Linked DNA regions of Coturnix japonica. The protein of the gene in region 1 binds, or shares a complex with, the protein of each later gene. Links are inferred from orthologs where the notes say so. Each region holds a gene or a part of one and is shown in the gene's direction. Other genes may lie near its edges.

What was found.
Region 2: EIF3I (region 1) and EIF3F share a complex: the UniProt entries of both Homo sapiens proteins name them as parts of the eukaryotic translation initiation factor 3 (eIF-3) complex. The link is inferred for Coturnix japonica from reciprocal best matches to the Homo sapiens genes EIF3I and EIF3F.

What each region holds. Positions count from the first base shown.
Region 1 is NC_029538.1:4,527,616-4,531,854, reverse strand, and holds the start of EIF3I (eukaryotic translation initiation factor 3 subunit I), read left to right. Parts: upstream 1-1,200; 5' UTR 1,201-1,228; coding exon of another isoform or gene 1,229-1,241; 5' UTR 1,242-1,315; coding exon 1,316-1,318; exon of another isoform or gene 1,319-1,322; intron 1,323-1,481; coding exon 1,482-1,574; intron 1,575-1,700; coding exon 1,701-1,788; intron 1,789-2,040; coding exon 2,041-2,106; intron 2,107-2,415; coding exon 2,416-2,565; intron 2,566-2,669; coding exon 2,670-2,797; intron 2,798-3,075; coding exon 3,076-3,186; intron 3,187-3,463; coding exon 3,464-3,553; intron 3,554-3,808; coding exon 3,809-3,882; intron 3,883-4,040; coding exon 4,041-4,133; intron 4,134-4,239. Other genes in the region: TMEM234 (transmembrane protein 234), read right to left, coding at 209-301, 588-654, 939-1,090, 1,229-1,241. UniProt on the Homo sapiens protein: Component of the eukaryotic translation initiation factor 3 (eIF-3) complex, which is required for several steps in the initiation of protein synthesis.
Region 2 is NC_029521.1:13,754,642-13,758,912, reverse strand, and holds the start of EIF3F (eukaryotic translation initiation factor 3 subunit F), read left to right. Parts: upstream 1-1,214; 5' UTR 1,215-1,236; coding exon 1,237-1,510; intron 1,511-1,620; coding exon 1,621-1,691; intron 1,692-1,767; coding exon 1,768-1,847; intron 1,848-2,787; coding exon 2,788-2,925; intron 2,926-3,986; coding exon 3,987-4,078; intron 4,079-4,271. UniProt on the Homo sapiens protein: Component of the eukaryotic translation initiation factor 3 (eIF-3) complex, which is required for several steps in the initiation of protein synthesis.

The sequences.
Region 1 (4,239 bases):
CTCAGGCCTACAAGTTCTGCTAGCTTAAAACAGCCAGTTCCAGCCAATTTAAATTCACTAGCTCTACCCCCTTACAAGTCAGTTTCACTTCCTTTTCAGCTTCCTTGCACAAACTACTGCCTAAGCAGTTACCAGAAGGGAGCACACAACATTAAAACAACAAATAGATGCAGAATACAACGTGCCAAATGTTTTAAGCGTAACTTACTTTTACCACCAATATCCTCTCCCAAAATCCTTCCAGTCACCAGCGTGACTATCAGAGCCAGGGAGTTACAGAGCGGCACTGCCAGGGACAGCTCTGAAATTGAACAATTGTAACACGGTTTGAAATGGATGCGTCCTTCATTCAAAGACATCTACTTGAATCCCCCTGTGGCACAAGTGGTAGAAGTGCCGCTCTGCTACACAGGAGGCTCGAATCCCGGGGGTTGGACTCGATGATCTCTAAGGTCCCTTCCAACCCACACCAGACTGTGATACTATGATGATGATACTTGATGTTCAGCCAGATCACCAAATGAATCAGTAATACAGCTCCTCCCCAAACCCTGATCAACCCACTGGACAAAGCAGTGAGAGCTGACCTGCAGATGCCAAGGTGAGGTAGAAGAGGAGCGATCCACATTGGTTCAGCAGGAATGGCACCATGTACTGCGGAAAGAAGACAGGTCACTGCATGGAAAAGCATTGCAATGCCTGCAGCAAGCAGTGCAAGCCTTGGATGCCATGTCTGCAGAAGGCAGGCAGGTCTGAATGTGAAATATGAGGGTTAATTTCTACAAGTGTCTAAGTTCTCCATAAGAAGAGCAGGACTGCAGGTGGGTAGATGAAATGTTATAGAGTACAAATCATTTTGCTGATAGATGGGAGGTGCTGAGTGCAGGAAGGAGCATGAAGGCCCGTCCCATACACCCCATGATTCCGGCTGTGCTCACCTTGTAGTTGCAGCCCAGGAACCTGATCTCGGCCAGCAGCTGCCGTAGGAGCCCCCGGCGCTGCACGTCCAACAGCCCCGCCGCTCCCGTCCGTAGGAACGGCCCGGTGCTGCCCCATAGAACCGACACCAGCACCAGCACGGCGGCCTGCCCTGCAGCACAACATCAGCTCAGCCCCGGGGCTGTTGGCCCGGCCGCCATCAGCCCGCAGCCCCCTCACACAGCCCACCCCGTCCCCTCAGCCCCTCCGGGATCCACCCGAGGCCCGTCCCCCAAACCCGGAAGCTCACCGGCGGCCGCCATAGCGCCCCGTGACCCGGACGTGATACTCCACGCCTCTTCTCTCTCGCTCCGGTTCCGGCAGCGCCGTGTCCGCCATGGTGAGTCGGGTTGTGGGCCGGGCCGGGCTGATGCGGGTCCCGGCTGGGTCCTGGGGTCGGCGGGGCTCCTGGGCTGATGGTGGTGGCAGCCTGAGCCCCAGCCGGGGCCTCGGCCTCGCTTGGCATAGCGTTAAATGGCGCCTTCCCTCATTGCCGCGTGCAGAAGCCGATCCTGCTGCAGGGCCACGAGCGATCCATCACACAGATCAAGTACAACCGAGAGGGAGACCTGCTGTTCACTGTGGCCAAGGATCCCGTGAGTGAACCGGGGGCACCGGGAAACCGGGCTGTGTGCGATGGGGGGGGAGGGATAAAGGTGGGTAATTAACGAGCTCAGGTAATTGGTCAGAGCGGCTCTTCAAGCCTTTTTATCTTCTTTTAGATCGTCAACGTTTGGTACTCGGTGAATGGAGAACGGCTGGGCACCTACAATGGGCACACAGGAGCCGTGTGGTGTGTGGATGCTGACTGTATCCTTTGGGTGCACAACCAGTTTGTGCTCTCGTTCCTTGCAGTGATTCAGCACGGATGGCTCCATTCAGCTGCTGTGTTTAATTGTCCCTTGTGCCATCTCTTGGTTATTTGTGCTCCTTGGGAAGTTTCCCAAGTCCTGTAATTTCTCAATGTAACGCAGCTTCTTAATCTTGTGTGTAAATACTCCCTGGGTATCTAATGATTTTTGGGGCTGCAAACGTGCTGATATCCCTTAACTGCTGACCAAGGGGACACCCGACATGTGCTCACTGGCTCTGCAGATAACAGCTGTCGGCTCTGGGACTGTGAAACAGGTAAAGGCTCTTCTCTCCCACGTGGCTGGATCTGACTCAGCTCTGTCCTGTTCTGGGATCTGTGCAACATGTGCCTGTTTGCCCCTGAAAGAGCCCAAGTCCTTTCTTGGCTGTTTGTGTATTTGCCTTATTTTCAATGGGCACTTATTCATTTTGCTCACCAAGCACATTTAGTGCTTTCCAGTCACCCAACCTGTCTGTCAGCTCTGATGCTCCTGTTCTTTCTATGACTGCACTTCTGTTTGATTGCTTTCATTAATGTTTGCAATGCAAGACCAAGTGAAGTGATGGTTTCTGCTCCGTGTTCAGGAAAGCAGCTCGCTCTGGTGAAGACCAGCTCGGCAGTGAGGACGTGTGGCTTTGACTTTGGAGGAAACATCATCATGTTTTCCACGGACAAGCAGATGGGTTATCAGTGTTTTGTGAGCTTCTTTGACCTGCGTGACCCCAGCCAAATCGGTGAGGAATCCGGGCCTGTGCCTGCAACTGGGAATAAGGGGAAGCGTTGGCTGCCAAGAGCTGGTGCCACTCAGTCTGTGTGTCTCCATCCTTCCTTCCTGCAGAGAACAACGAGCCTTACATGAAAATCCCCTGCAGCGACTCTAAAATCACTAGTGCTGTGTGGGGCCCTTTGGGAGAATTCATCATCGCAGGACACGAGAGTGGGGAGCTGAACCAGTTCAGTGCCAAGGTCAGTGTGATAAGGAGGAGCATCACCCTCAGGCAGCAACTCTTGGGAGAGGATGTTGCAACGTTCCTGTTGTGATCATGTGGCAGAATGTGGGTTTTTTTGGCTCAAACCAGTGGCCTTGAGGAAGGATAGTTAAAGTATGTGGCTTTCTTCAGCAAAGCTGAACATATATATGCCTACCTTTCTGCTGACAGCAACATCTAAAGTCGGTTTTAGCAGAGAAGTTGTTTGTACACTTTCCTTGCCAGTTCACTTAAACTGCCTCGTTTACCCTTCAGTCAGGGGAGCAGCTTTCAAACATCAAGGAGCACACCAAGCAAATCAATGATATTCAGACCTCCAGGGACATGACCATGTTCATCACTGCCTCCAAGGATAACACTGCCAAGGTGAGGCCTCCTGGGGGGACTGCGGTGCATTGCTGACATCCGCTTGCAGGACCCCTGCTCAAAGTCATGGCTGCCTCAGTGGTTTTCTCTTTGGGAATTTGAGCAGGTGTAGAGCCAAAGCTTAGTGGGAGGGCTGATATTTGGGATTCTGGAGCAATAGCTTTGACATTTGGATGCCCAGGAGTGACTTTAGAAGTAACACCTGCTCATGTGAGGACTGGCAGCTGGGGTTTGCATGAGATACTTGGACTGCCACTCTCTTCCTTTTGCATTTTAGCTATTTGACTGCACAACGCTGGAACATCTGAAGACATTCCGGACAGAGCGACCGGTGAACTCTGCTGCACTCTCCCCCATTTTTGATCACGTAAGCATGAGCCCACGCATACTAACGGTCTTAGTGCAGCTCCTGCATTGTCTCAGGCAGCTGGAAGGCACAGTGTCACCAGTTCAGCCTGAGCTAAAGAATCACTGTGGGACAGGGCCAGGGGACTTGACTGCTGTCATGGGCTGTGCTGGGTTAGTGGGAGGCTTCCCCAAGGCTGGGCTCCCTCCTACCCTGGCTGTTGTTCCACATATGGTGTAAGCAGCACTGCAGTGTTGTGACTTTCTTCCTATGCAGGTTGTGCTCGGTGGTGGGCAGGAGGCCATGGATGTGACCACGACCTCCACCAGGATTGGCAAATTTGAGGCAAGGTTGGTGCTCTTCTCTGGCAGGGCTGAGTCTGCACTTGGAGTTCTCTCCTGCTCCCAGAGCGTCTTGCTATTGGCAGCATTTGGAGAGTTACTAGAATTGCAGAGCTTCTCTGAGGAAACCCTGATGACATCCCTAACCTGCCTCTTTCTTCTCCCAGATTCTTCCACTTGGCTTTTGAAGAAGAGTTTGGCAGAGTGAAGGGTCATTTTGGTCCGATAAATAGTGTTGCTTTTCACCCTGATGGGAAGAGGTGAGAATCTCTGGGGGTCTCCAGCACGTCCCCACCAAACGTGGTCTGTTCTGATTAGGATATGGCTGGATTCACTCTGAACTGCAGTGGGGATGGAGCCTGCTCC
Region 2 (4,271 bases), on another chromosome or scaffold:
CTAATATGAAGACATATCAACCAATGCATTATACTAGAAATTAGGCTGCCAACAATAGCCGTTCATCTACTAGCAACCACAAGTGAACAGGAAGCAGAGGAGTATCCAAAACACTCCATTGAGGCTGAATAAGGAAACTACCACTTAGTTTTAATTTAAAACCCAGAAGCCACTGACCATCACTACTTCATACTAAAGCCCCAGAGAAATCCTAGTAGCAATTGGATGGACCAGTATGATAGAAAAAGCATTACAAAAGAGATGCAATGATAAAAGGACCAACACAGTAGAAAGGTGCTATAAAGTAAGAGAAGATTGCTCACCTGTATCAGAAAATTCTAGGTTTGCAGCATAAAGCTTCACTAAGGAGAGATCTCCAGGAAAAAACCCTTTACTAGCAGCAGTCAGCCCTTAAATAAGGTCTAAGAGAGGTGCAGGCAGGCTGCATCCCCTCCAGGCACACAGCTGAATTGCCTTCACCTGTGCTCCCAGGGCTGACCAGTCCTTTCCCCAGCTGTTCAATCAGTGGTTCAGGCCGTGACTCAACACTTACCATACAGTCCTGAAAAACACAGATAACCAACAGCCAGCCAAAGCATTGGCAATATGACCATGAGAAATGGCAGAGAGGGAGTTCCATGAACACAGTGAGAGCTGGAGACACAGACCTGATGTTCCAAGCAGGAAAAGAGACTTCCATTCTTTGATACCAACAGATTCAGAAAATCAGTCTTGCTATTCTTTTTCCTAATTATGCTTATCTACATGAAATGCATATTTTATTTTACCTGTAATTCAATGCAATATTTTTAATGTACTCTAAGGGGTTTTTCGCCTCTCAACAAGAAATTATGTTTATTCCCATTGCACAAGCAAGATGAGACGATAGCTACTGATATAGAAATTATATATCAGCTGTGAAGATGCAGCCGACATAACAGCACATGCAAAAGTAATGGCTCAGTGACGTGTAAGGGCTGTAAAAAGAAATCACACCAGAGAATCACAGAATTGTAGGGGTTGGAAGGGACCTCTAGAGATCATCGAGTCCAACCCCCTGCCAAAGCAGGCTCCTACACCACGTCACACAGGTAGCACAGCTCTGCCTTTGGCAGACAGGAGCTCAGCGCTGCGCCAGCCCATGAGGGGGCGGATGCTCACGGAAGTGGCGTATGTGACAGGCGTTCCGATCAGCCAATTGTCGTGGCCGAGGTCTCTCCCCTTTCTCTTCGCAAAATGGCGGCTCCTGCTCCCGCTGTGGCTCCGGTCCCTCCCGCTGCCGCCCCGGCTCCCAGCCCCACGGCTGCTCCCACTACACCCACGGCGGCCGCGCCCCCTCCGCCCTCAGCCCCGGCGGCACCGCCGCCCTCCGCCCCGCTGTCCGCCGCGCTCTCGGGTCCTTTCCCCGGCGGCCGCGTGGTGCGGCTGCACCCGGTGGTGCTGGCCTCCATCGTGGACAGCTTCGAGCGGCGCAACGAGGGCGCGGCGCGGGTCATCGGGACCCTGCTGGGTAAGAGCCGCAATGCCGCAGCCCCCACTGATACCGCCCCACTGATACCGCCCCACTGATACCGCCCCACTAAGACCAATACCGCCCCACTAACCGCTGTCGTCCCGCAGGCACCGTGGACAAGCACTCGGTGGAGGTCACCAACTGCTTCTCCGTCCCGCACAACGAGTCCGAGGATGAGGTACGGTGTGGGGGCTATGGGGGATGTGCCATCGGGGCTCCTGCACCCGCTGACTCGGCTCTGTCCCCTTCCCCAGGTGGCTGTTGATATGGAGTTTGCCAAAAACATGTACGAGCTGCACAAAAAGGTGTCTCCCAGTGAGATCATCCTGGGCTGGTGAGTTCTATGGCCACAGGGAAGTGCGGGCAGTTGTGCAGGTCCCTCAGATACCTCAGATCTGTCATTGCTGTCAGAGGCTGGAAAGCAGAAGCAGCAGTGAAGTCGTGCCATCACTCAGGATAGGAAAGGATGCTGTCGCAGACTTAGAGCGTTTTTGGTTAGTCTAGAAGAGCTGTCACAGACAGGAGGGTTGGGAATGCTCATGGATCTATTAGAATGCAGTGATACAGTCTGTAAGGTAACTAGCTGGAGGGAGAACACAAAAGTACCAAAGGGCTGGTGGGAAACGGTGATGTTAGCCTGAACACAAGGGTGTTCTCTGAGTAAAGGTGGAAATACCTGTGATGGGGTGTTACAGGAAAAGAACTCGTTTGTGCACGGATAACTGGCCTCGTTTGTCTATTGACATCCTCTCTGGCCCCTTTCTATGGAACAAAATCCTACAAGCGCAGAACTCTTGGCTTCCTCAACAACCCATCATGGCACAGCAAGGTGCAGTTCTCATGGCAGTCGCTTTCCTGTGCATGCAAGAAGTTAATTGCGGAGCAATTGAAGGAGCGAGATGAACAAGCCCTGCCTCCTGCACAGGGGTGTTTAATTTGTTTAAGATTTACTTTGCTGGTCCAAATTTGCTTGGCATGCTTTGATTTATAAGGAAATAAAGATTTGGCCCAGAGCATAGTGACAAAAAACTGACTCTTTTTGATGGTAATACAACACTGACCCTGTGCATGTTTTGGGCATGTGTGCACTCAGCCTATAATTCTAGGAGAGCCATAAAACTACACATGACCTAGTTATAATACTAGTCTTTACTATGTGTCTGCAACTCAGTGCTTGGACATCAGGGTTTTAGAATACAGACCTGTTAAATACCAACAAATACTGGGCATTTGAACATTAGAAGAGTGGTCTTTCAACATTTGCTTTTTCCAAGGTACGCAACAGGTCACGACATCACAGAACATTCTGTCCTGATCCACGAGTACTACAGCCGGGAAGCACACAATCCAATCCACCTCACTGTGGACACAAGTCTCCAGAACTCACGCATGAGCATTAAAGCCTATGTCAGGTACATGGGGACAGGAACTGTCTGAATTACTAACAGATATTGTATCAGGATGGCACCTACAGCTTGATAGTGTTGCTTAGAGCCCTATCCAGCCTCGAATGCCTACGGGAATGGGGCATCCACCACATGTCTGGGCAACCTGTGCCAGTGCCTCACCACCCCTATTTTAAAAATGTTCTCTTTTTGTCCAATGTAAATCTCCCCTCTTTTAGTTTGAAACCATTTCCCCTTGTCCTATCACAACAGACTCTGCTGAAGAGTCTGCCCCCCTTCCTTCATATAGCTTCCCCTTTAGATATTGAAAGGACACACTCAGGTCACCTCACACCATTCTCCAGGCTACACAGCCCCAGCTCTCAGCCTGTCCACGTAGCAGAGTTGTTTCATCCCTGGGATCCTATTTGTGGCCCTCCTCTGGATGCACTCTAATAGGTCCATGTTTCTCCTGTGCTGAGGACTCTGCATCTGGATGCAGTACTCCAGGTGAGGCCTCACCAGAGCAGAGGGGCAAGATCACATCCCACTCCCCGCTGGCCACGTTTCAGGATACAGTTGGCTCTCTGGGCTGCAAAGCATGTTGCTGGCTTGTGTCCAGCTTAACATCCATGAGTTCCCCCAGGTCCTTTTTGGCAGGGCTGTGCTCCATCCTTACATCCCCCAGGTTATACTGATAGCAGGGGTTATCACGACCCAGGTGCACTTGGATTTATCAAACCTCATGAGGTTTACCTGGGCACACTGCTTGAGTCTGCCTAGGTCTCTTCAAATGGCATTTTATCCCTCAGACATGTCAGCTTCACCAAGAAGACAGTACTGAACTCATCATGCGCTTGTACTGATAAATGTCAGACCAGCTAGGAATATTTTTGGATGAAAATTTGCAGTTAATAATATACCTGTATTGATTTCCTGTCCTTGGTTATACATGGTATTAATATTGCTGATTTTACTGACAGTGAGTAACCTATTCGTGTTCACACTGTAGTGCTAATAAAGATCATTGAGATGGAAAATTATTTCCTTTCAGATGTGTCCATGCTGAATTTATGTGTTTTTCCTAGTGCCCCAATGGGAGTCCCTGGTAAAACTATGGGCGTGATGTTCACACCACTGACAGTGAAGTATGTTTATTACGACACAGAGCGGATAGGAGGTGAATGCTTTATTCCTATTTTGGGTCTAACCATTGTCGTGATACTGTTCAAATGCTGTTTGGTTATTAAGCCTGGTAAAATTACCACTCTGGGGGGGAATTAAACTGTCTCACTGAACCTGATGCTATCCTAGAGAGTATTGAACAAGTTAAAGTTTTAAGCTGCTTTCTGTGTCAGTCGGATTTCTCAGTG